Arabidopsis thaliana: one gene and its partners. The protein of the gene in region 4 interacts with the protein of the main gene of each other region in a pairwise test. Each region holds a gene or a part of one and is shown on either strand. Other genes may lie near its edges.

Region 1 (6,681 bases), on a different chromosome or scaffold from region 4:
GATCATCATTCCTTAAACACAGCAGAGCCGATGAGTAACGGTTTCATCTCACAGGAAGGATCAGGAAAAAACAAAACACCAATGCCTTCAGAGCTTATCACCTCTTGTGTTGCATCTTGGCTCATGATGCAGGTAAAGGAAATAATTTTGTCTTGGACTAACGAAAGTGTAATCTAAATCAAGAATACCAAAGTTTTCACTTGATGCGGTTTTGATTAGAACTCTTTGTGTGTTATTTACCTGCAGATGATCTCAAAGAAGCAGTACCCACCAGCAGATGTGGCTCAGCTAATGGATACAGTAGTGAATGACTTGCAGCCACGGTGTCCACAGAATATGCCGATATACAGAGAAATTCAAACTTGTATGGGATTGATCAAGACTCAAATAATGGCTCTTGTAAGAACGTCATGAAACATTTGTGTCCTTTGTAATTAACCTGACATCGAAGATAACACTTGGAGATCAGATTTAATTGTTTGGATTGTAGAGGTTAGTTTAGTTTATAGTTAGTTAATAATTTGAACAGCTCCAAAGGCTGTTGATAATTAGTTACCATTGATTCTGTAACTTTTTTTTGTCATCATTCATTGTAACTTTGGTTACCTTTTACTTTGGAGCTGTTTTTTTTTTCTTTCTTTCTCAGTGATTATTTTCTTGGGTCATTTTGGATCCTAATGGCTGAAATAATTTATTCCCACCTTAATACAAAATCTCAAATATATACTATTCCTTAACTAAAATTCTAGAACAATGCCAAATGGATATGTTTGAAATACCTTTAATAACAACTAGGATTTAACCTGTGGTGTACCACGGACAAATGTTTTATTCATATATAATAATATTAAATTTTACGGTTTTTAATTTAGTATTTAAGTTTTATAATTTTATATTAATGTTATAACTAAAACAAATGGTGATGATAAAATAATAAAATAAATATTTAACATGTGCTATATCAATCCAAACTCGTCCCACTATATTTCATATCAATCCAAACCCGTCCCGCTATATTTCTCATCTCATGATATTTTTTTATAAGTTTAAATAATAATAATGTTTTATAAAGTTAAAATATATCTATAATATTTAAAAATAATAATTATTTTTTACTTAAGTTGGAAAGATTTTTGGAAACGTTTGTTGAGCGCAATATAAAGTATTTAAATTTTCAAATCTGAATAATTAATACCAATTATATATCTTGAAAGATCTTTGGCAACTATTGTTGAATATAATATCTTGTATTTAATTATCGACAGGAAATATTTAATGTCAATGGCATGACATTGTAAATACAAGTACAAAATTTATTTGCTAAAATGGCTGCAAAAATGTATATGTAGATTTACTTCTAATTTTAATGTTTCAAAGGACAAAACTAGGCATGACCATAAAATCCGAAGCCCGAAAAACCTAGTTCGCTTTGGTTCGAGTGGATCTAAAGTGTTTATTTTGGGGTTTTGGTTTGGTTCGTGTAGGATCTGAAACCTGAACAGATACCTGAAATATCGAAACTCAAACGGATACATGTAACTCGAAATAATACGTATACATAATTTGTCGGTAAATTCAGGTTCAATATCAGGTTTCAATTAAATTTGAGAACCAGCCCGAACCCGAATAGACCTCAACCGATATTTTCAGTTCCTAAATGTATTTTCAATCTCTTTACCAAAGTAACCCAAAAACCCAATCTAAACAGACCCGAAAATCCGAATGTCCAGACCTAACTAAAATCGTGAGTCAAACTCAAAAAATGATTGATTAACACTATATTATACTTTTACTTAGATTCTATAAATTGGACACATGTATGGGTGTTATTAAGGGTTGGAAACATAAATTTAAGCCATGACCTTATTTTTGGTTGGAAAATTCTTGTTCTTTTTTTTGTTAGTAAAGGGCTGTTAATAAGGGTTTTAATGGGTTAGCGAACGACACCGTTTATAATAAATATGTTTGCTAAACGACATCGTTTGACCTTAGGGTTTATTGTTTAACATGAAAGAACGTCGTTTCACCAACGTTTCTTCTTCCTCGCAAGTCTCAAAGCCAGGAACGATCTCGCCGTATGAGCAACTTCCGACATTAACACTGTATTGCTCTGCCGTACTCTCCTCTTTTTCCCTTCATACTCGTCTTCACATCTGAATTCCGACAAGATATTGCGTCTGCTCTCCTCTCTTCCCTCATTCTCGTCTTCTCATTACCAAAAACATCTTCTTCTCGTAGCTAACTCAATCCAATTCCAATCTCCATTCAAATCGAGCACCAGATAATTTTTTCTCCTAAATTCTAATATAAGCCCTAAAATTCAAAATTGAAATATCTATAGAATCTCCTTCCGATTCAGACGGATAATCGCCATCAACAGCGTGTGAATTCGATCAAAAATCTGAACTTTCCACAAAGAAATTCGAAAGCTCAGATTTTTCGATTTCGAAAATTTTGAAAACTCAGTTAATGGCGGATTTTCAGACATCAACACAACGGGCCAAGTGGATTTTCACTCCCCAGAAACTGGTAATCCCCTTCTCCTTCTGATCACTACAATGCGGCTTTATAATTATATTTTGTTCATCTTTGGATTTTCTTTGCTTTGATTGCTTCATAGAGAGTCGGATTAATCGAGCATTTGGAACTCTTTGTTACTTAGTTATGTGTGTTGTTGTTGTTATTATCTTACTTGTTGTGTAGAGATATTGGTATTGCAACTAAGCTGTAATGTTGTAATTGTAGGCAGAGAGATATAAAGCTGCTAACCAGAGGGCAGTGCAAATGCTGGAGAAGGTTTGTTAGAATAATTGTTGATATGGAGCTTTAGTCCTGTATTCATGTTTAGATTTTAACTTATTGTTATTCATAGTGTGGAACAACTCAAGTTGAAGTAGATGCTAGTGGATCACTAACATATCCTAAAGATAAAGTTGGTTCAGGAGATCAAGGTAAAAATTTTGGTTCCTTCAATATCTACTTCATACGTATCATAGTTTTGTTTGTCGAAGTTTAAATAATGTTACTTTTTGCTTTGTTACTCTCAGCTGATAAGAAGCTTAAGCCTTTGAGTGCTGATGAAGAAAGGTTCATGAGAGCATTTTATGAGGCAAAGGTCCAAGAAGTGTGCAGTGCCTTTGCATTTCCTCACAAGATTCAGGTGCATTTCTACTCGTCGAGATAGAAGTTTATGATGAAGTTAAAAATAAAATACCTGATTTTTGTTTGCTCTCTGAATTTATGTTTCTTCCTTCTAATATTTTGCAGGCAACAGCCCTCCAATACTTTAAGAGATTTTATCTGCAATGGTCTGTTATGCAACATCATCCAAAAGAGATAATGTATAGTTCTTTTAAATCCTCAAAATGGTCAAAAGCTTTGCTTTTTTCAAGAGAATAGTTTTGAAATTGTTTACCAAATGGAGCTAAGCATTTTGTATTTCTGAGCTCTGAGAGGCTTTTTAAGTCAGTCATAAATGGTCCATTGTTGTAATTTGGACTAATTGTTACCTTTCATTGAACAGGTTAACCTGTGTGTATGCAGCTTGTAAAATAGAGGAGAATCATGTATCTGCTGAGGAAATTGGGAAAGGGATTAACCAAGATCACCGAATAATTCTCAAGTACGAGATGGCTGTTCTTCAGGTATGATATGAGTCAATTAATTTGTACCAACTTCCCTATGTTTATTTTTCCCTGGTGTTCTTTTCTCTCTCTATTCTTTTGTTCATATTATATTAACTCTATGTGCAGAGTTTGGAATTTGATCTGATTGTTTATGCACCGTATCGTGCAATCGAAGGTTTTGTCAACAACATGGAGGTAAATCAGTCCTGTCTAAATTTCTTAGTAGGTTTTCTTATTTCAACTGGCTTTTCTCTGTTTACATCTTATAGTGATGAGACTCTTTTTCAGTTTATTGGCAATTGTTTTGTTGCAAACAAAATTCTGAATGTTAACTTAACGCCAAGAACTTGGTGAACCATAATAGGATATACCAAGATTTTCAATACTTTTTTCGGTGTGTTATTTTTCATCCTTGTTGAACTTCACGCTATCTTCAAAAGTAACCTCATCTTTTCATCCTATAGGAATTTCTTCAAGCTAGAGATGATGAAATCCAAAAACTAGAGGTAGATCTATCTTCAGATATTTCCTTTATCTTCACTAGATTTTAAGCATGTGGTAACTGAATGTGGGATCAAAATGTAAATTTTAGTGTAAGTTTGTGATCATAGCTGTAAGTCTATTTACTTAACAGGCTTTATTGAAATATTATTTTCTCATACTGGCATAACTTTTCAAGTATTCTGCAGAGTTTGCTCAAAGGGGCGACAGCAGAAGCCGATAAAGTTATGCTCACAGATGCTCCACTCCTCTTTCCTCCTGGCCAGGTGGGCATGCTAGTTTATTTTGTCTCCCTAGCCTCTTATTATCAGATTAAAGATACTGAATAATATCCATCAAAGAATCTGGTTAAACTCATTGTTTGGGATATTTCAGTAAAGCTTTAAATATGCTACTCAAGACATAAATTTAGGATGAAAGTTGGTGCTTTGTTTTCTCTTTGACTGATATTTAAGTGAAATTAATGAATGTTTATGATATAGTAGTATAGCTTATCGATATATACTCACCTTGTTCCTTCTTTCAGGATTTTTCGTTTTTCTTTAGCGTATATGTAACAAAAGAAGTATCACAAATTGTTGTACTGTCTCTCAACTCTTGAACGTGTGCCCTTGTAGTTGGCATTGGCGTCGTTACGTATTGCAAATGGGGTTCTTGGAGTGATTGACTTTGATAGGTTATTTCTCTTATTCTATATCCATCCCGATTATTTACCCTTTTAATCTTTCCATGATATTAATCTCGTGGTCTTGAATTTCTGTATATGCAAAGCTTTTTACTGGTTGTATTTTCAACTAAACTGCATTTGGTGCAGGTACCTAGAGAACATTGTTTCTCAACCGAACTCTGAGCACACGACTTCAGAGCTTACAAAGTTACTTGATAACATCGAATATTTGGTATTTACTAACTTCCATAATTATCTTAACAATGAAACTTGCATATCTAAAAGGAAGTTTTACTAGATGCTCTCTCTTATCTCAGGTAAAGAACTACAAGTGCCCAAGTGAAAAGGACATGAAGCATATCAACCGGAAGCTAAAATCTTGTCTAGGACATAGTTCTTCACATGACGAGTACACTAACAACCTCTCTTCTACTAATTCTTTTAACCACTATATATATTTCATAAGCTTTGCTTCTGCAATTGACTCCCTTCTCTATTTATCTTCATCAGGAGTAAGAAACGGGAGAAGAGATCAAAACACAAGTCCCATAGGAGCTCCAATGATACACCAAACGGGGCACCGCCACCCATAGGTTGAGTTTCTCGTACTGCCATTAGCAATTCTTCCTTTGCACTTTGGTTTAGTTTTAATCTTATTGAATGAGAAATTCGTCTTTTATAGTTTCTTCCCCGTTGTTGTTCTTACTAGTAAATTTGAGCAGATTATGTATAACAATGATATTGGCCATAAGTTTTGTTTATTCTGAAGATGTTAATGAATTTATAACAAAACTTCCATTTATTTTAAGTTTTGGTGTACATAACAATCGTCAAAAATGGTTTGTTTGCGATAATGATCAACTTTTTACATGATCAAAAGTTTTTCCAGACATTTTGATACTTTCTAGTTACTACCACATCTGTTCTTACACAGAAACAAATGGATATGACTAGTGTAGCGGTAACTATCAAATCCTAATAATAACAATGAAAATTTGTATTAAATAACCAAAAACCATCGAAAATAAAATTTGGATTGTGAATGAAACTTGTAAAGATGCTTGATTGGTTGTGCTAAATGTCTTTTACAGCCATAATATATTTGTTAAAGACTAAATTGTTGCCAATTATGTTATAGTTTTTTTCTTTAACTTAGAGCCCCAAAAAAAATCTTTTTGTTTTGACTGTAAATCTTTAATTTTCTACATCCTATTTTGTGTTGTAGATTTTTTTTTTTTTGTAGATTTTTTTTTTTTTTTCTCTCCTCTAACTTTTTGTCACGATTATTTTCAACTAATAATCTAAAATGTAGTTATATGAATAACAGATAAAGTATTTTATACATTTAGACAAATAATTTATAAATTTATATAGATTCCATTTACCTAGATGTGCAGAATTCTTTTTGTGTTTTTATTATAAAATTGTTATTAAATAATTTATATATATTCCATCTACCTAGATGTGCATAATTCAATTTGTGTTTTTATTTTATAATTGCTATTAAATAATTTTAGTAATTATGATATACAATTTTCTCATTTTGAAAAAAGGTAATTTATAAATATAAAATTCAAATATTTCTTAATCATAATTTTTAGTTACAACTAAAATATTTATTGCCAAAATCCTATATTTTTCAAATCTACAAAACCAAGAGGTTACCGTCAAAATTCTACAGTTAGAGCTTATACACTTATTGCCAATATTATACATAAAATATTTTACCTTATGCAAATGCCTATGCTTTTATGGGTCATAGACGGACCTGGCTACTGTGTAACTAATCACCCACATAATTTATCAGTCAAACATAACAAATTCTTTTTGTGCCAAAAAGTCAAAAACGTTAGAAACTGGATTTTGGAAGTTGATGCATGCAAATAG
Region 2 (5,570 bases), on a different chromosome or scaffold from region 4:
TGGTGAAGGCTTATATGAAGAAGTGGAGAATTACATCAATAAAAACAAAGGGAAGAGCTTTAGAGAGAGGAAAGAAGAGGAGATGAGAGCTTAGCGAAAGATAGAGAGAGAAGGCAAAGGTAAAGGAAGAACCTTTATTCATTTATATACATACCCACACATATACACATATATATATATATATAGAATATGTTTGAATATCATATTAATTATATATATAGATGAATAAAATAAGAATTGAGTGTGTCCACAGTGTTATTGCGAGGCTCTTTTTGTTTTATATATTATATACATATTTGCTTAGGGTTTTGGGAAGGTGGAGGAGAGTGAGTGTGTCCGATTGCTTAACCCATAAGTTTCTTTCTGATTCTCTCTTTCTGGCAATACTGCTACTTCTGTACTATGTGTGCAAATTATACATATACACAGTTTTAGAAAATAAAAGAAAAAAGCACTTAGCTTGACTGGTTGTATGGTTTAAACTTTAAAGTCAGTAAAAATCAGAAAACATTGATGTACGTCAAGATATTTAGAAACGTTTTAATTAGCATGCAAAAAATCGAAAAATAAAATAAAAGATGATAAACGTTAGGATTGGATCTAGGTGACGTTAGTACTTAGTGGTATTCAAGAGAAAACTGCAATTGTGATATATCTTAGTTGTTCTATAAGAAAATTAGGGCTGATATGATATCTACTGCTTTTGTGGACTATATCAGCTACAAATCTAATTATACAGAAGAGAAATTGGTTGTGCTTGAATTTTAGTACGTCTATATACCTCAACTTTAACTAAACAAGTAACTAATAGATTGGACTAAAATGGGCCAACACTAATTACTAAATAATATTAGATGATATTGATTTAAAATGTATTGAGAATGAGTAGATTAAGTTGATGAAAAGAATAGTATATAGTATTTATTTTGACGGCAATTGAAAAACAGTCCAACATTCTTCCGAAGTGTCCCCAACCAATTTCGCTTTTCTTTCCCTCGAACCGCCGCGATGTCTCTTTTTTTCCTTTTCCAGACAAAAAACATTATTTTTGCATGGGAATTGCAAATTTTGAACTTTCCTAGCACACGCGCCATTTAAGCGCGTAAATTGAATCTAACTAGCTTCGGTAAACCAACCTAACCGGAGACTAAATTTGTTAGACCAATCAAACAGAAGGAAAATAGCCAATAGATTCAACACGGTTAGTTTTGGTTTAAAACAATAGTTTCTGTTTCCGTTGAAATATCGCATCAAGTTCGAATAAAAAGGAAAATTGGATAAACAAACATTTGTTGGCCTATGAATTGATTTTACAGTCTCTCTCAATTGAACACTAAACCAGATGTATAATTTTTTAGTATACCAATTAGATCATTACTTCTTCTTCTTGAAGAATTTGGGAATAGAAGCTCGGTCAGCGAGTATCAATGGATCCCGAGTTCCAGCAAACCGGGCCTGAGGTTCCAGAAGCAATGCAAGAACTGGATGAAGAATGAGCGGAGCTATGTTGAGATTGGTGATGTGTAGATGAAGAAGAAGATACTCTGTTCTGTTCTTGCTTCTGTTCTTGCATCAGTTTCAAAATGTAAGCATCATCATGGACCGAGAAAGGTGTGCTGCTCACAACAAAATTTACGAAGATTTCAATTCCGATTTAAGAGATAGCAGAACTGATTTTGATTTTGAGAAGAAATGTTGTTTATTTTTACCTATTGAAGTCGAGGTGTACAAGTTGCATATCTTCAGAAATCTCGATTTCGACTACTGCGTGAGGGTTTGTCTATAGAGATGGAAATAGATTAGGATATCGAAAAACATGAAATAGAAACTACGGACGAGAAAGAGATTTTTGAAGTACCTCAAGTAGAATGAATGGTAAGGTAAATCCTTCTGCTGGGCCTTGAGTCTTCACAACCATCTCTTGATTTCTCGACATAAGACTCTCAAGACTTGAGACCTGATGATAACAACATTTGAGTAACATTATAAGCAAAACGTAGAAAGACGGTTTAACATTTCATTAAGACAACATAAAATGATTCAATACACGACGTATCTATGGATTCTAGAAAACCTGCAATATCAATAACTTTTGTCATCTATTGACATGCATAACAAGATCTCAAATTCTAAGAGAGTCTTGTATTTAAATTTTCCATCAAACAGAAAGAAGATCACCTTTTCTCTCAACTCTTTAAGAAAAGCAGCCTTCTTTTGCACACTGCTCATAACTTTATTACGATCCATCTGCAAATAGAGGTAGAGAGATTAGTAGAGAAGACGAAGAGAGAGAGCAATTACATAGATGAGATAACTGAAAGGAAAAGCTTGGAAGCTAAACCTTGACTTCTTCCACATCCTTTTTGCAGGTAATAGGAAGTCCTTTCCACCGGATTTCCTTTTTATCCCTTGCAATAATATCCAACGCCATGAACACATTGAGCGCATCGTAGACTCTCCGCCTTATGTTCTTCTCATTGTACTGATTGAACATAAGAGAATGTTGTTATAGCTTTTTTTTTTTCCAAATAACTCAAGACAGATGATATGAGCTTTCCATCTCGCTATACCTCATTTTCATTCAAAGGCTTCTCTGCGTTTTGCTTAATTGTGGCAAAATCTGAAATAATTTCGTCTGCAACCTGGAATCACAAGAGCCACAGTCTCAAACGTAGATTTTCACATTTTCTGATACAATGCCTCTATATAAGGGCAAGACTCCTGATTAGAAGAAGAATTTGAGACAATGCTCAACAACTAACTTAGAGGATTGCTTCTTGAAGTGAATACTTGTTCATATAAAGATCAATTCTAATGCGTCTTAAACTGAAAACTCATTGATTACATCACCAATTCCTTAATGGAACAAAGAGAGTAATACCTCCTTGTAAGTAGTTATCTTCTTGGCTTCCAACTTCTGACAAACTGTGTGAAGTTAAATCAAAATCAGCAAAACAACAATACTTTCACTTCAGGCATGTTTGAGCTAAGAGAGATATATCACTGACCCATAACACTGAATTGACGAAGCCCGCCTCCAGAAGTTCTTGATTGCCCTTTCTTCTCTGATCTTTTAAACACAAATTCAATACAGACATTTTAGCTCCAAGTAAAAAAACCAGAGACTTTGTGAGTAAGAAGAATAATTAACACTGACCCAATTTCAGAATCATCATCAACAATCAATTTCCTTCTCACTGGAGTTTTCTCAACGCTCACTGAAGGATGTTGCCTCTGCTTCTCTGGAGTGACAAACAACTCCATCTCCATACTCATCCTTCTCTACACAATTTACCAATTAACAAAGTTAGCTACACGAAATCAAATCAATTAGTTGTTCATGTCTCAAATCCATCGTTGACTAAAACCGATGAATCAATAGACACAATCTAAAAAACCCTAAATTGTTGACAGCTCCAATTTCAATTTTTTAACAAAAGCTAAACAAAATTTATGAAATGGGAATCATCAACCAGTTGGATTAGATCTAACGATGGTGAAGAAAACCCTAGTTCAGAGAAATAAAGGCTAAAGCTCGAATCCGTTTCAAAAGATCAAAGAACGAACCAGTGATCGATCTTCCAATGGCGGAATAAAAAAAGATGGAGATTTTTTTTCTAGGGTTTTGGTTTTACTCTTTTTATTACACAGAGATGCGAACAACAACCAAAAAAAAAAAATCGGAGATGAAATTACTTTGGGTGAGAGTTCCCGCTATAAACAAACAAACAAACTGTAACAACAAACAAACACAGAATTCTCCATAGCCCATCAAAAGCCTCAACAAAAACAAAACACACGCACTCTCTGTGTTCGAACCCAACCGCTACGGTGTCGTTTTTCAACTTTGGCGGGGGATTTAAATGGGCCTTTTGTAACTCTTTGTAATTTTAAGCCCGTTGGGCTAATTATATGTCTAAAATCGATCACGTATTAAACTCTTTGATAATCGATAACGTTACCAAATAAATAATGAAAATTTGGCTGTCTCTATTACATATGTTGACAGTTGTGTTTGTATTCGATCCAATTGTTTAAAAAATAATAATATTAAGTTCACTGAATCTTGAAAAAATGTTTGGTACGTATGCATTTAAGTTATTGAAAACATTATCGCTAGCTTATAAAGTTTATGATTTTTTCGTCTTATATATAAGACATGGTCCGTATCATCAACTTGTAACTATTAAAAAAAAAAACTCACTATTCTCATATACTTTTTATTTCTTTTCTAAGATGCTTATAGTTTTACACGTTAGTGCTTTAAGCCTGCAACGTGTGAGAAGGTTGCGTTGCACTTTCACTAGATCGAAAGAATATATGCATAGTTGCTTGATCCTTTTTCTTTTTCTTCTTTATACGATGATCGTACTCGTATAGTACTGAAAACTATATGATAAATTTCAGCATAACTGTTTGTTCAAGTTGTTAACCGATTAAAAGCTTTAAAGTTTGAAAAAGGATATGTTTATGATAATTGCAACCACTTGGTACTTGCCACTTGTTCTCCATGATTGTTTTTTTTCTCTCCATATGAAGATTAAATTAAATTATTTTGTTTGTAGTTTTAACTAGTTCGAGTTGATAAGAAAGTTTGGAGCATGGCCATGAGAACCAAAGCTGTTCCTAGTTCCTACGCTGCTTGATTGCGGAGAGTCATTCTCTTACTCATTGCTTCATCATCATTTCCAACCGTTTAGAGTTTCACTAGCCATGTTTCTCTTCTTCACCTCTTTTTTTGTTTAACCTTTATGTATACCTTCCTTCTCGTATACCTTAATCAGACCGGTATGGACTAATCAATTCCTCATGCTATTCATAGCTATGCACTATCATAAGATTTTGAAACAATATAACTTCAAATTTGATTTGTTTACTTTGATGTTTCTATGTGTTGTCAGAATATATAAATATATGTTTTGTCATTACAAAAAAAAGAAATAGTGTGATCTATTTAAATGTTTGTTTGCTGTTTGTATATCTGTCGTTGTTTTGGGAGATGAGAGGTGGCAACTCCCAATATCTTTTTGGGGTCATCTTCAATGTCTTCTCAGATCTCAATTATTGAGTTTTTAAAGTCATGTTTGATTCTTTCTTCTCTTTTTTTTGGTTCACTAATTCTACTCTTTAATTAGTCTTCTTTTTTTGTCAACTTTCGTTTATATCACATAAACAATTATATCTATTGCAGTAAATATATTATTCATAATGTTCAAGTGTCCCTTGAGGAACTGAACATACAATAAACAAAATAATGTTACCGTATCATATGGTATGCGTATTTATTCCAGTAGCTTTTTCTTTCTTAACATCTGAAATCTAGTAGAGTAATAGACTATTTATTTAATTTTGGAAATTTAATATGTTTTTTATATTTTTCCTATGTTTGCCCAAAATTGTTTTTACACAATCATTACTCGCCTTCATAAATTAAAAACTGACATGGTGAAATACATCAACAAGCTAATATGATACTCATAAAACTGACTCAAAATGCATTTTTTTTTTTTAAAGTAAAAAATATGTTGTCCTCGTAGTTATCCTCAAACTCTTTGATTCGATTGTTTTAG
Region 3 (6,243 bases), on a different chromosome or scaffold from region 4:
ATTCGGATAGATTGATAAGTATCAGTTGTCGTAGGACCTTGGGAACCCTTGATAAAAGTAGGATAGCGAAGCTTTACTATACTTCTTGTGTACTGTTGTTTTCATGAAAGAATCTGGTGAAATGTCAGGAAAGGATTGCTGACGAGTTTTTGGACAAGCTGGTAAAGTGGACCAAGAACATTAAGATTTCAGATCCTTTTGAAGAAGGCTGTAGGCTTGGTCCTGTTGTCAGTAAAGGACAGGTTAAATTGCTAAACAGAATTGACATTCTCAAGAATAAACACCTCAATCCTCCAAAACCCTCTTATCTATCAATTTGGGTTAATGACGAAAGATTTCTAGTCAAGTCTTACATATTTATCCTCCTGTGCAGTACGAGAGAGTTCTAAAGTTTGTCTCAAACGCTAGGAATGAAGGTGCAACTGTTCTTTGTGGAGGAGTTCGTCCTGAGGTACATTATATTGACTAATCTTCTATGTATGTGCCAAATACTATCTAGAGCCCGTAGCACTTACAATATTTTATTTATGTTCTGCAGCATTTAAAGAAGGGATACTTTGTTGAACCTGCGATTGTTTCAAATGTGACTACTTCAATGGAAATCTGGAGAGAGGAAGTCTTTGGTCCTGCTCTGTGTGTGAAAACATTCTCCACCGAGGATGAGGCAATTCAGCTTGCAAATGACTCTCAGTGAGTGTAGATTTCTCTTCTTATCTTGAAGTAGAACTCCACTGATGACGTGTTAGATCATATGCCTGACTTTATTTGTATTTGCAGATATGGATTAGCAGGCGCAGTATTATCAAATGATCTGGAGCGGTGTGATCGTGTTAGTAAGGTGTGTATCTAACTTTTACTATCAACAATAACAATCAATAACCTCATGATTGAACTTAATCTCTAAAGTTTTATGAATCGTAATCATTGTGTGTTTCAGGCTTTCCAGGCGGGAATAGTGTGGGTCAACTGCTCTCAGCCATGCTTCTGCCAAGCTCCATGGGGTGGAACCAAACGCAGTGGATTTGGCCGTGAATTGGGAGAATGGTTAGTCTCTTTCGTTAGCTATAAGTATTAAGATTATCAAACCATTAGAAAAAGACACTCTCCAACTAGATGGAATTGTGTCCATAGTAACTTAAACCGTAATAGATTACCAACAAAATTTGAATTGAAACATATTTTCTTCGTCGCAGGGGACTTGAGAACTACTTGAGTGTGAAGCAGGTGACTCAGTATATCTCTGATGAACCATGGGGATGGTACAAACCTCCTTCCAAGCTCTGAGACAAACACTAGTTCCTGATATTTCCTTAAAACATGTACTCATGAGAATATACCAATAAAGCAAGAGACCCTTCTGTAAGAGAAATGGTATTGCTACTTTAAATTCTTGAAAAAAATGAAAAATAAGATGAGATGATATTTCTTTTTGTTTTTCTCAAAACAACATGCCATACAAAAGTAGCAAAAAACTGGCGAAAGATGAATGCTCTTATATGTAACATACAAAAGTTACAGCCTACAGTAAACTTCAGAAAGCAAAGAGGGTATGCGATCTGTGAATTAATGTCGGATTCTTGCAGTTACAATTGTGTGGAGAAACTAAACCACATTGATCAAAAGAAATGACTCTTGAAGCTCTCTACACGAATGATGATTGATGTTCACAGGTAAGAGAAGAAGAAGAAGAAGAAGAAGAAGAAGAAGAAGAAGAAGAAAAAGAAGATCTAACGGTGTTGTGATGTATTAGGTAATGGATTCTCCTGGGTGACTTCGCTGAACCATGTCTTCCAAGCATCCATGTAATGGGAAAAGAGGTCTTTCAAAACTGAAATTTGTTCAGAAACAGAGTTAATTTCATAGCAATATTTTGACAAGTTTGATATCAAATGGATGTGAATAAAATATATGCACCTTGGTTTTGGTAAGAGGGACGGTAATCAGAATCCAGATTCTCAACATCAAAAGCTCTCCTAGAGTTATCCTCTAAACCAGCAGTTGGATATGTACCAGTGCCTGGTGCAAAAGGTCCAAAATGGTAACCTCCTCTTGATCCATGTCTTGATTCATGAACATCAAAGCTTTTGTTATAAGAACTCTCTGGTGTTGAGTGCTTTTTCATCTTTAGCCTTCTCTCTGTAGCGTTTTCTTGGGACGAAGATGATGATTTGCTTCTCTTAACATTGACGTTTGTAATATCAGTTCCGAAAGCTCTTTTTCTTGACTCCAATTGCAACAAATCGCTGCTCAGTGTGAAAGTAGGCTCACCATTGTACCCTAACCACTTGAAAGCTGGTTTCCTAGAATCTAAGGTGTGAGTCTGCCACCAGAGAATACAGAAACTAGTAAGACTTAAATCACAGCTTGAAATCATAGATGGTTCACAACTGTTGTAGCTATTGATAACTTTGACTTACCTTCTCTATGAGATTCATTGACGACAAGACATTTGCTATATCATAAAGCCGCCTCACTTTAGCTGCATAAAAGTAATCAATGTGTCAACAAACACAGATCGATTTGTCTCAACCGAGGATGTTAACATAAAAGAAAAGACTTTTCAGGTCACAAGACGAAGATAATTACTTCGCATTATTGATGTATTGTGGGCATCACCAAGCAGTAATTTTGCAGCGTCATCAAGGGAGATGATCCTAATAGCCTAAACAGTTGAACACATAAAAAACAAATCTTTAGTAACTTAGTGAATAACTCTTTAGTTCAAAAAACGAATCTTTGAACTTCTCACTTACTTCAGAGCAAATAAAGAGTTTGATAAAGTTCTGAGTAAGCAATCCTAAAGATTTCTCTCGTCGGTTATCTGTCATACATAACCAACCAACAAAATGTTAGGATATCTACATTGCATCTCATAATTCATATCCCACATATAGAGTTACCAAGAGGGTAAATCACTTAACTACTTTGCAATGGCACTAAACCCGAACACAATAAGTACTACACGCACAAAATGAAACAGTACCTATTTTGGAGGGATCTGAAGATTGGGGAAGAGAACCAGGTTTTGAACTATCAGTCTGGCTACTAGAGTGAGGCTGAGAAGACTCTTCATCATCATCCTCATCATCAGATCCCTGAAAGTATGAAACTTTAAGCATTAGAAGTATGAAGACAACAAACTAAAGACACAAGTATATCAAAAGAAACCAAATCCAAATGACTTACTTTAACATTCTCATTGACATAGAAACGATGAAAAGTGTCCTTAACCCCCTCTTCCTACATCAAGAACACTTCCTATGAGAATATGCAAATCAAATCGCTACATTTCTTCACAATTGGGATTGAATGGGATTGAATCCGAATACAAAACAAATGAAAAGACTCACTTGTAGCTCCTTCAATGCTCCTGGAATTGCGGAAAACCCTTTCCACGTATACTGATTCTTTGCTCTTCTTGTTAAAACCTAAATTAGACAAAACTCGAATTAAGCAAACATAACACTTCTGGATTCTGAAAAAAAACAAAGTAGTGGAGAAACAAGTCTCACCCCAACACTCTCCAGAACATTAACAATATCATAGATTCTTCGTCTCTCCACTCCTGAAATAAACCCCAAAAACCCCAATCAACAAATTAAGATGTAAAATCAGAAATGAAAATAAAAATCACAAACACAAAGTGGGCAATACCTAATTTCGAGGCAGCATCATCAAGCCCAACCATTTCAATCCCTTCTCGATTATACAAAGCTAAGAAACTGAGTTTACGAAGAACACTAATCAGAACAAATTCAACAACAAATAAATAAAATGGGTTTAGTAAAAAGGCACTAACTTGGTACAAAGAAGTCCGAGAGATTTCTGTTTGCGACTATAGGAATGGTGTAATTGTAAAGCCGAAGAAGATTCCGGTATGGAAGAAGGAGAAGTAACGGCAAGTTTGAATCTTTCTGGCGATAGATCTGACATGGTTGACGCAAACGATGTCTGCGATTGAGAATTTGATATTGTATTTTGGAGGGATTTCCTAAAAAGAGAGAGGGGGAATTTCCCAAGATACTTGAGCGCCAATTTGAATTTTTTGGCTCCTCCTTCTCCGTAACATTTACACACTCCTCTAAATTTTGGTAAAGCTGAAACCTTTACGGTTTTGTGCTCGGTTCAGATCGCAATTTTTTGGTTTTTGTCTTTTTGTTTTTTCGGTTTAGAAAATTTCTTACAATATTTTCAGGATTCTGTTCAACTTTTTCATTTTTCTTTTCCAAAATTAGATTACATTAACCAAAATAATACATTTTCAATCAATATTATAGTAACAAGATCTATTTTGGATATCTATCTTTTTACTTGAACTCAAAAAGTAAAGTTGTAAGGGGATTTTGGTTTTGTAGGATTTAAAAGTGATTTGGTCTGAATTTGTTTTTGGTTTGGTATGGTTTGTTTGGTTTTGGAAAGATTAAATCTTTTGATTTGTAATCTTGTAAAGAGTAATGCCCTTAAAATGGTAGATTCATGATAGTGTTTAACTACTTGCATAAGCAAAATCAGGGTCTATCTTTGACTAAATTATAGTCTTACCATTAAAAATTTCTATTGACCAAAACAAAAGGTTATTTTGTCCAACTAAGATTTTTTTTTCTATAATAGTTTTGCATACCTTTGGTCTTACTCATTTGAGCTAAACCAATTAATTTAAAGTTGTTGACAAAACAAAAAAAAAAAAATTGCATTCTTATTTTATTTTTACACTTTTTCAATAATTCATTGATACCTAACAGAAATTAATACAAAGTGACAAAATTGATATGATATTAAAATTAGTTGTGTAAAGAGTTTTTGTGTGTGTGTGTATGTTAGTTTCATGGGCCTATTTTGAAACCCAAAAGTTAATCAATGGGCCCAATACACACGATCTCTCTGTAAATTTCAAAATAATTAAGATGGAGGGAGCAAATGTTTCTGAAATCTCTCTCCACGACGAAGAAGAGATTCTTCGATTCTTTTTTGAATACTTAAAGTTAAACTCTCAGTTTCTGCTTCTGCTATGGTCTCTAAAGAGTGTTGCCGAAACGAAATACGTGCGGCTATTCGACAGCTTAGCGACCGCTGTTTATACTCCGCCGCAAAGTGGTTCGTTTTCTCAAAACCCTAATCTTATTCAACCTCTCCCATTGTTGCAATCTCTAGCTCGCTACTGCTCTGGTTCGATTAAAAATCGATTTTTTCACTATCCTTTATGGGTTTTACTAATTTTTTTGTATCCTGGGCTAATTGTAAACAAATTTGGTTAAGCAGATTCGTTGATTCGAATTCACTTTTGTTGCGAATTTGGTGTTGGATACATTCCAATTCAGATGATTCGACATGTGGGTTTTGTGTTATGATATGTTTGAGCTCGACACTAATTGAAAAAATGTGTTCTTTCGATGGGAACTTCTGATCTCCGGTTCAATCTTTCGATATGTTTGAGCTCGACACTAATTTGTGAATTATGAGTTAAAGTTTCAGTTTTTAGTACTCGTATTGTAGTTCAATGGTGGTGAACTATTAGTCAGTTCCATATTTGATATCTCCTTTGCTTTCATCATTGCAGGGCAGGAGAGCAGCTTGTGGGGATAGAGCAAGACCCGTCTAATTTTACACCTGCGAATACGAGGTTTCAGCGAGGAAGCTCTAGCATCCGGAGAAGGTTCAGCACCAATGAATCTATTTCAACACCGTTACCTTCCGTTGGCTTCTCTCAAGCAGCTACTCCTCTCCCGGAAGAAGATGAAGCGATTGATGGTGACATTTACCTTTTAGCAAAGTCCTATTTTGATTGTCGAGAGTATAGACGGGCCTCCCATATGCTTCGTGACCAAGTGAGCAAGAAATCACTGTTCTTGCGTTACTATGCGCTTTATCTGGTATGTTCTGTTTCTCTATCTCCTATTTTCTATTTAGCTAGAGCTTTTATATCTTATCAGAATAGGGTGATGGAATGAACTTTTTAAAAGTTGGCTCCAAAATGCTTTTGAGTGTTCTTTTAGCCTCGGCCAGTAGGCTGCCTTCAAATAAATGCAATATATGGACGTTATTACAAACTTATAGGACTGAGCCTCTGATTCACAATTTTGTTGATGTCCAGTCACAGTTATGTTCTATGATACAAGAGATATGAGGGTATGCAACTGATATACAAAAGTAAATAAATGAGTGAAACTTAATTGGAATTGTTCGTCCTGTTTAAAGACTATTCTGTAAACGTTTATGGCAATTACTTACTGAGAGCTTGTTTTT
Region 4 (5,699 bases):
CAGTAGGCACAACTTGTGCTGTGATTGGACAAGAACCTGAAGCTTGCCTATGCTCGTTGAACCATTCAGAAAACTTAGAAATCATCACATCAATCATTGGTAACAAGTGGTATTTTCTCGCTTTTTTAAACACACCATTAATGGACTCCGCAGAATTACTAGTGTCAATGTTATACTTGTCTCCTTTAAAATGGCACCTCGACCATTTCTCAAACCCTACTTTCACAAGAAAGTCAGCAGCTTTAGGCCATAAACTTGTAAAATGACCAAACTCTTTCTCGAACTCACTCTCAGTATATGCATGAGCACAATCCCTGAACTTGACAGCAGCTCCATCCTTGTCAATTGTCACACGATCTCTCATGTTTTGACACAAATGCCATATACAAGCTGCATGAAGCGCATTCGGGTACACCGTCTTGACAGCCTTCTTTATGCTTTGATGCCTATCACTAATAAAGACCAATCCGGGAACATCCGAATATACAGTTTTCAGCTTTTCTAAGAACCAAATCCAACTTACATCCTTCTCGCTATCAATGATTCCAAACGCAAGTGGATAATGATGATGATTAGGATCTTGTGCTGTTGCAATAACCAACATCCCACCATACACAGTTTTAAGATGAGTTGCATCCACAACTATCACTTTCCGCATTGCCCTAAAACCTTCAATGCAAGCGCCTAATGCAATGAAGAGGTACTTGAACTTTTTCTCTCCTTCCAACTCCACATAAGTTACTGTCCCTGGATTTACCTTCTCTAACATGTAAAGATAAGAAAATAACATCGTGTAGCTTCTTTCCGGAGTCCCTCGCACATCACTAACATGTAGCATTTTGCCTCTTAAGGCAGTGGAGTATGAACAATGCACCCCAAGTCTTCCTCTTACAATCGACATAATGTTTTTTGGAGTTGGGGTCTCTAAATTTCCGGGATAATCACAATGTAAAACCGATGCTATTAATCTTGGTGTGCCTCGCTGTATACTGTTGCTTGTAGTCTCAACACTCCGAGAGCATGTATGCATCTTTCTATGCACTCTAACACTCCAAAAATGAGATTTTTTAGTTCTCGCAACTCTTAGATACCAAGTACACCCTTTAGAAGCTTGGCGGCATCGTAGCATAAGTCTCAACGGGTCTGACTTAATAGTATAGACTCCAAAAACTTCTTTCTTTGCAGCTCTGTTAACCAATTCCCACACAGCCTCCCTTGAACAAAATTCTTGACCAATTTCAATACCCGTACCATCATCCCATTCTATAACCTGCGGAGTAACTTCTACACTTCGTGGAATATCGTGAATATCATCATAATCAATCCTATCATCCTCATCTTGTTCCTCAACAGAATTCACCGGCCTTTCCATCGGCCTTTCGATAGCCACGATCTCCGTACCTACTACATTCTCACAATCATTCACATCATTATCATATCCATCATGCACCATCTCACATACTTCATTTAAAACATCATCCTCTATTACATTTACACCAACTGAACTTCGACGCTCCGGTACAGAAATTTCCTCTCTCCTCTCAACTCCTATACCATTTAATTCCTCCACATGCAAAACAGGAATCCGACTCTCTTCATCAGATTCTGTTAAAAATATGAAGACATCCTCATCATTTACAATATATGTCTCTCTCCTAACTTTAGACAGATTGTAACTCAGTTTCAACTTGACAGAAGCTTCATCAATCGCAACCTTCTTCATGATCTTGTCAACTAACATCGAATAGCTAATCTTCTCCAAACTACTCGTCTTAAACGATATAACATATAGTGAATTTTTACCAATCCACTCATTCACTTCAGAATAGTATCCTCCAAAGTCAAAATGTACCTTAGTGTGGATCTTCTTCTTCATCGCTCCTGAAAATACAACCAGTTCAACTCCAATCAAACATTTTAATAGTTATACCACATGTACTCTTATCATACGTTGAAATCAATCTCTCGTCGCACTCGTCTCTACTGAACCTAATTCGTTACCTTTCAATTGATTTCCAATGTTAATACATACCTATTCGTTAAACTAATTGGTTAATCTAAACTTTGCAAACACAAACCCCCCAAATCTTTAATATGAAATCTCGGAATTCAAATTCAACTCACATTCAACCTACATTCCTTTGCTCATCACCTCAAATAACGTTTCGGCAACCTCTAATCGATTACTCTTTACTTTGCAAACCAATCATCAAACTATCAAATTGAATCGAGCTGGGAATTATATAGAATTCAAAATCCCAATCTAAAATCACAATGCACCAATGTCAAAGGAAATATGAGAAGAAACTGACCTAATTCGTGGCTTTTACGCCGGATTTCAAGTCGGCGGCATGAGGAAATCGATGGTGGCCGACGAAGAAGATGAACGTCGACCAAAGAAGAAGAACACGACGACGAAGAGGAGAATCTCCGAACTCGATTTTCTTTATTTAGCTTTTGAATTTCTTTTTCATTTTTTTAATCAACTCATTAAGGGTACAACTGGTATATCACATTTTCGGTGGCATTCAGATTAACTTATGGCAGTCCAGATCAGTTTTTTCAAAAAAGTGGCATAAGTGATAAAAGTCCCCCCCTGCGGTTTGGTTTCTTGTCCGCTCCAAAACTTGTGAGGGCATTTTAGTCATTACAACATGGGAACTGGATTTTTAAACTGGTGAATTCGTTAGCGTTTATGTGAATAATCATCCATCATCAGGAAAGATCCGAAGAAAAGCGACGCCGTTTTAAAGGAGATGGATAAACAACCGGCGACCAGTTGGAGTATCCATACCCGGCCGGAGATAATCGCCAAGTACGAGATCTTCGAGCGAGTCGGATCCGGAGCTTACGCCGACGTTTACAGAGCTCGCCGTCTCTCCGACGGTCTAATCGTCGCGCTCAAGGAGATTTTCGATTACCAATCTGCGTTCCGGGAGATTGACGCGCTCACCATCCTCAATGGATCTCCTAATGTAGTTGTTATGCACGAATACTTCTGGCGTGAGGAAGAGAACGCTGTGCTTGTGCTTGAGTTTCTTAGGTCGGATCTCGCTGCGGTGATCCGAGATGGTAAGAGGAAGAAGAAGGTAGAAGGAGGGGATGGATTCTCGGTTGGGGAGATTAAGAGATGGATGATTCAGATTTTAACCGGTGTTGATGCTTGTCATCGGAATTTGATTGTACATAGAGATTTGAAGCCTGGGAATATGTTGATTTCTGATGATGGAGTTCTTAAGCTTGCTGATTTTGGTCAGGTGAGATTATGATTGTTACTGATTGTGTTAGTTATTTCATTGTTTGATGCACAAATATGAGAAACCTCTGAATGAAAAATGCTTGGTTTGCTTGAAATTTGGAAGAGTTAGTGTAATCAAGTGGCTAGACCTTATCATTTAGTGTAATCTATGAGTTTCTAAATGTGTGTTGGCTTCTTGGTTCATATACAGGCTAGGATACTCATGGAGCATGATATTGTAGCTTCAGATGAAAACCAACAAGCTTACAAACTGGAAGACAAAGATGGAGAAACCAGCGAACCACCAGAAGTTATTCCTGATTATGAGAACTCACCTAGGCAAGGGTCTGATGGTCAGGAACGGGAAGCGATGAGTAAAGACGAGTACTTCCGACAGGTGGAAGAGCTCAAGGCTAAACAGGTTGTTAGAGATGATACTGATAAGGACTCGAATGTGCATGATGGAGACATATCTTGCCTTGCAACGTGCACTGTTAGTGAAATGGATGATGATCTCGGTAGGAACTCGTTTTCTTACGATGCTGACGAAGCAGTGGATGATACACAGGGTTTGATGACATCTTGTGTGGGAACCCGATGGTTTAGGCCACCAGAACTGCTCTATGGATCTACGATGTATGGGTTAGAGGTCGATCTATGGTCGCTTGGTTGTGTGTTTGCAGAACTCTTGTCTCTTGAGCCTTTGTTCCCAGGAATTTCAGATATTGATCAGATCAGCAGAGTGACCAATGTGCTGGGAAATTTAAATGAAGAGGTCTGGCCTGGTTGTGTTGATCTTCCAGACTACAAGTCAATCTCATTTGCTAAAGTAGAATCTCCTCTTGGTATTGAAGGATGCCTTCCCAACCATTCAGGGGATGTGATATCGCTGCTCAAGAAGCTTATCTGTTATGATCCAGCTAGTAGAGCTACTACTATGGAGATGCTGAATGACAAATATTTAAGTGAAGAGCCTCTTCCAGTTCCAGTTTCAGAGCTCTATGTGCCTCCGACAATGAGTGGACCAGATGAGGATTCTCCGAGAAAGTGGAATGATTACAGAGAAATGGATTCAGATTCAGATTTTGATGGCTTTGGACCCATGAATGTAAAGCCTACCAGTAGTGGATTTACAATAGAATTCCCCTGACCTTGGCATTTAAGGTACGCAGTCAAAAGCTCTGGCTCGCTTAAACACATAAATCAGTCTCTTCTCTCTCTCTCTTTCTTCTTCAAAGAGAATGGGTATATACCAAAACCTGACATGTGTTTCTTTAGGTCTTGATTGATGCAACACTCTTTGTTGTTTGAAGATCTTGTTACAGAATACCGCTTAGAAAATTGTTAACTTTTCGTTAGGACATTGTTTAGGTATCAATGGCGGCAAAAACTTTTGAAATTCGTTTGCTCATTGATCTCACAACTTTTTTTTGCGCTTTGTTTCTCTCATCGATCTCAGTTTTATGTGTTTATCTCTCCTTGGCAGAGTCCATGGTTGAGCATCTTGATCATCCCGACTTCCCCTGAATTCGCCTACTTTGTCAAAAATGTGTTGTGTGTGTGTGTGTGTTGTTCCTCTCTCTCTGCCTCCCTCGTATGAAAATGGTAACATTTACAATTGGAAAGTCGGTGTTAGCCTTTAGCTATTAGCTGAAGAGCTAGTTTTCTTGTTGCCCAGGCCATTCTTTACCCTATTTTTCATCTGAAGTAACAATGAAACAAAATCTATATATACTCGAGTTTTGCTTTCTAGGATCTGTATTTCTTAATTGTTTCTATATTTTGATCAATTTTGAACTTTTCATATCAAGTTATCAACATGTGTAGTAGCAACCCTTCAATAATGAGACCATGGAATAAAAGCCTATCCTATATGTCATCCAGTTTTTGCTAAGATAAATTATTTTCAGTTACCCAAATTACATAATCAAAACTGATATCATAAACAACAAAAATAGCACACACAAAAATCATAACTGAATCTGATTCTTCCAGAAATGTGAACTGTTGTTTACTATAAAAAGAAGAAAACCAGAACCACAATACATTTGACTCCATGAATCAGTCATACTAGTCCAACATACTAAATATAAAACTTAAGGGGCAATATTGAAAATTAGACAAAAGTTGATAGACCAAAAGATAAATTAATAACAGTTACCAGTATCTATCGCCAAGTCTCCCCTAGGGTTTTTTTTCTCTGAAACGGACATCGAGAAATTCCAGGAGTGAGTTTTGACAATCGGAGAGAAATGGGGTCGACAGAAAAAGAGCAGACGACGCAACATCACCCGCCTCACATCAGCAGTCTCGTCGTACGTCCCTCCGGAAGCAACGACAGAGAAGACGGCCGCAACGCCGCCGGAGACTATGAGCCCGGAGAAGTCTCTCGTGACCGGCCTTCGTTTAATCGCTCGGATCGGTATAAGGGTGACAATGGTGGTTCGTATCTCTTCTAAAC

Evidence for each region.
Region 1: the proteins of CAK1AT (region 4) and CYCH;1 interact in a two-hybrid assay, tested with the Arabidopsis thaliana proteins (one large-scale study listed by BioGRID).
Region 2: the proteins of CAK1AT (region 4) and DPA interact in a two-hybrid assay, tested with the Arabidopsis thaliana proteins (one large-scale study listed by BioGRID).
Region 3: the proteins of CAK1AT (region 4) and DEL1 interact in a two-hybrid assay, tested with the Arabidopsis thaliana proteins (one large-scale study listed by BioGRID).

Annotation. Positions count from the first base shown.
Region 1 is NC_003076.8:9,769,293-9,775,973, forward strand, and holds CYCH;1 (cyclin H;1), read left to right. Parts: upstream 1-2,010; 5' UTR 2,011-2,469; coding exon 2,470-2,529; intron 2,530-2,745; coding exon 2,746-2,796; intron 2,797-2,872; coding exon 2,873-2,951; intron 2,952-3,047; coding exon 3,048-3,160; intron 3,161-3,267; coding exon 3,268-3,341; intron 3,342-3,523; coding exon 3,524-3,644; intron 3,645-3,752; coding exon 3,753-3,821; intron 3,822-4,090; coding exon 4,091-4,132; intron 4,133-4,315; coding exon 4,316-4,393; intron 4,394-4,744; coding exon 4,745-4,803; intron 4,804-4,941; coding exon 4,942-5,026; coding exon of another isoform or gene 5,027-5,092; exon of another isoform or gene 5,093-5,111; coding exon 5,112-5,387; coding exon of another isoform or gene 5,388-5,392; 3' UTR 5,393-5,583; downstream 5,584-6,681. Other genes in the region: ALY1 (protein ALWAYS EARLY 1), read left to right, coding at 1-132, 247-414. UniProt on the Arabidopsis thaliana protein: Associates with CDK-2 and CDK-3 and activates the CDK kinases.
Region 2 is NC_003076.8:541,148-546,717, forward strand, and holds DPA (Transcription factor DP), read right to left. Parts: upstream 3,809-5,570; 5' UTR 3,568-3,808; exon of another isoform or gene 3,283-3,567; 5' UTR 3,277-3,282; coding exon 3,158-3,276; intron 3,071-3,157; coding exon 3,009-3,070; intron 2,926-3,008; coding exon 2,882-2,925; intron 2,643-2,881; coding exon 2,571-2,642; intron 2,483-2,570; coding exon 2,342-2,482; intron 2,248-2,341; coding exon 2,179-2,247; intron 1,958-2,178; coding exon 1,859-1,957; intron 1,781-1,858; coding exon 1,710-1,780; intron 1,617-1,709; coding exon 1,415-1,616; 3' UTR 1,171-1,414; downstream 1-1,170. UniProt on the Arabidopsis thaliana protein: Involved in the regulation of the G1/S transition. Increases the DNA binding and the transactivation activities of E2F proteins after heterodimerization. The complex DPA/E2FA promotes cell division and acts as a regulator of the endocycle.
Region 3 is NC_003074.8:17,781,331-17,787,573, reverse strand, and holds DEL1 (DP-E2F-like 1), read right to left. Parts: upstream 4,244-6,243; 5' UTR 3,934-4,243; coding exon 3,800-3,933; intron 3,723-3,799; coding exon 3,655-3,722; intron 3,566-3,654; coding exon 3,513-3,565; intron 3,429-3,512; coding exon 3,351-3,428; intron 3,241-3,350; coding exon 3,187-3,240; intron 3,096-3,186; coding exon 2,984-3,095; intron 2,822-2,983; coding exon 2,754-2,821; intron 2,663-2,753; coding exon 2,587-2,662; intron 2,480-2,586; coding exon 2,418-2,479; intron 2,321-2,417; coding exon 1,915-2,320; coding exon of another isoform or gene 1,886-1,914; exon of another isoform or gene 1,852-1,885; intron 1,829-1,851; coding exon 1,728-1,828; 3' UTR 1,414-1,727; downstream 1-1,413. Other genes in the region: ALDH10A9 (aldehyde dehydrogenase 10A9), read left to right, coding at 129-242, 374-451, 539-690, 778-838, 938-1,044, 1,194-1,284; APC8 (anaphase-promoting complex subunit 8), read left to right, coding at 5,009-5,094, 5,558-5,870. UniProt on the Arabidopsis thaliana protein: Inhibitor of E2F-dependent activation of gene expression. Binds specifically the E2 recognition site without interacting with DP proteins and prevents transcription activation by E2F/DP heterodimers.
Region 4 is NC_003075.7:14,285,715-14,291,413, forward strand, and holds CAK1AT (CDK-activating kinase 1AT), read left to right. Parts: upstream 1-2,682; 5' UTR 2,683-2,756; coding exon 2,757-3,257; intron 3,258-3,449; coding exon 3,450-4,388; 3' UTR 4,389-4,402; exon of another isoform or gene 4,403-4,724; 3' UTR 4,725-5,199; downstream 5,200-5,699. Other genes in the region: AT4G28990 (RNA-binding protein-like protein), read left to right, coding at 5,491-5,680. UniProt on the Arabidopsis thaliana protein: CDK-activating kinase that modulates CDKD-2 and CDKD-3 activities by phosphorylation of the T-loop. Activates CDKD-2 C-terminal domain (CTD) kinase activity. Activates CDKA-1 probably by phosphorylation.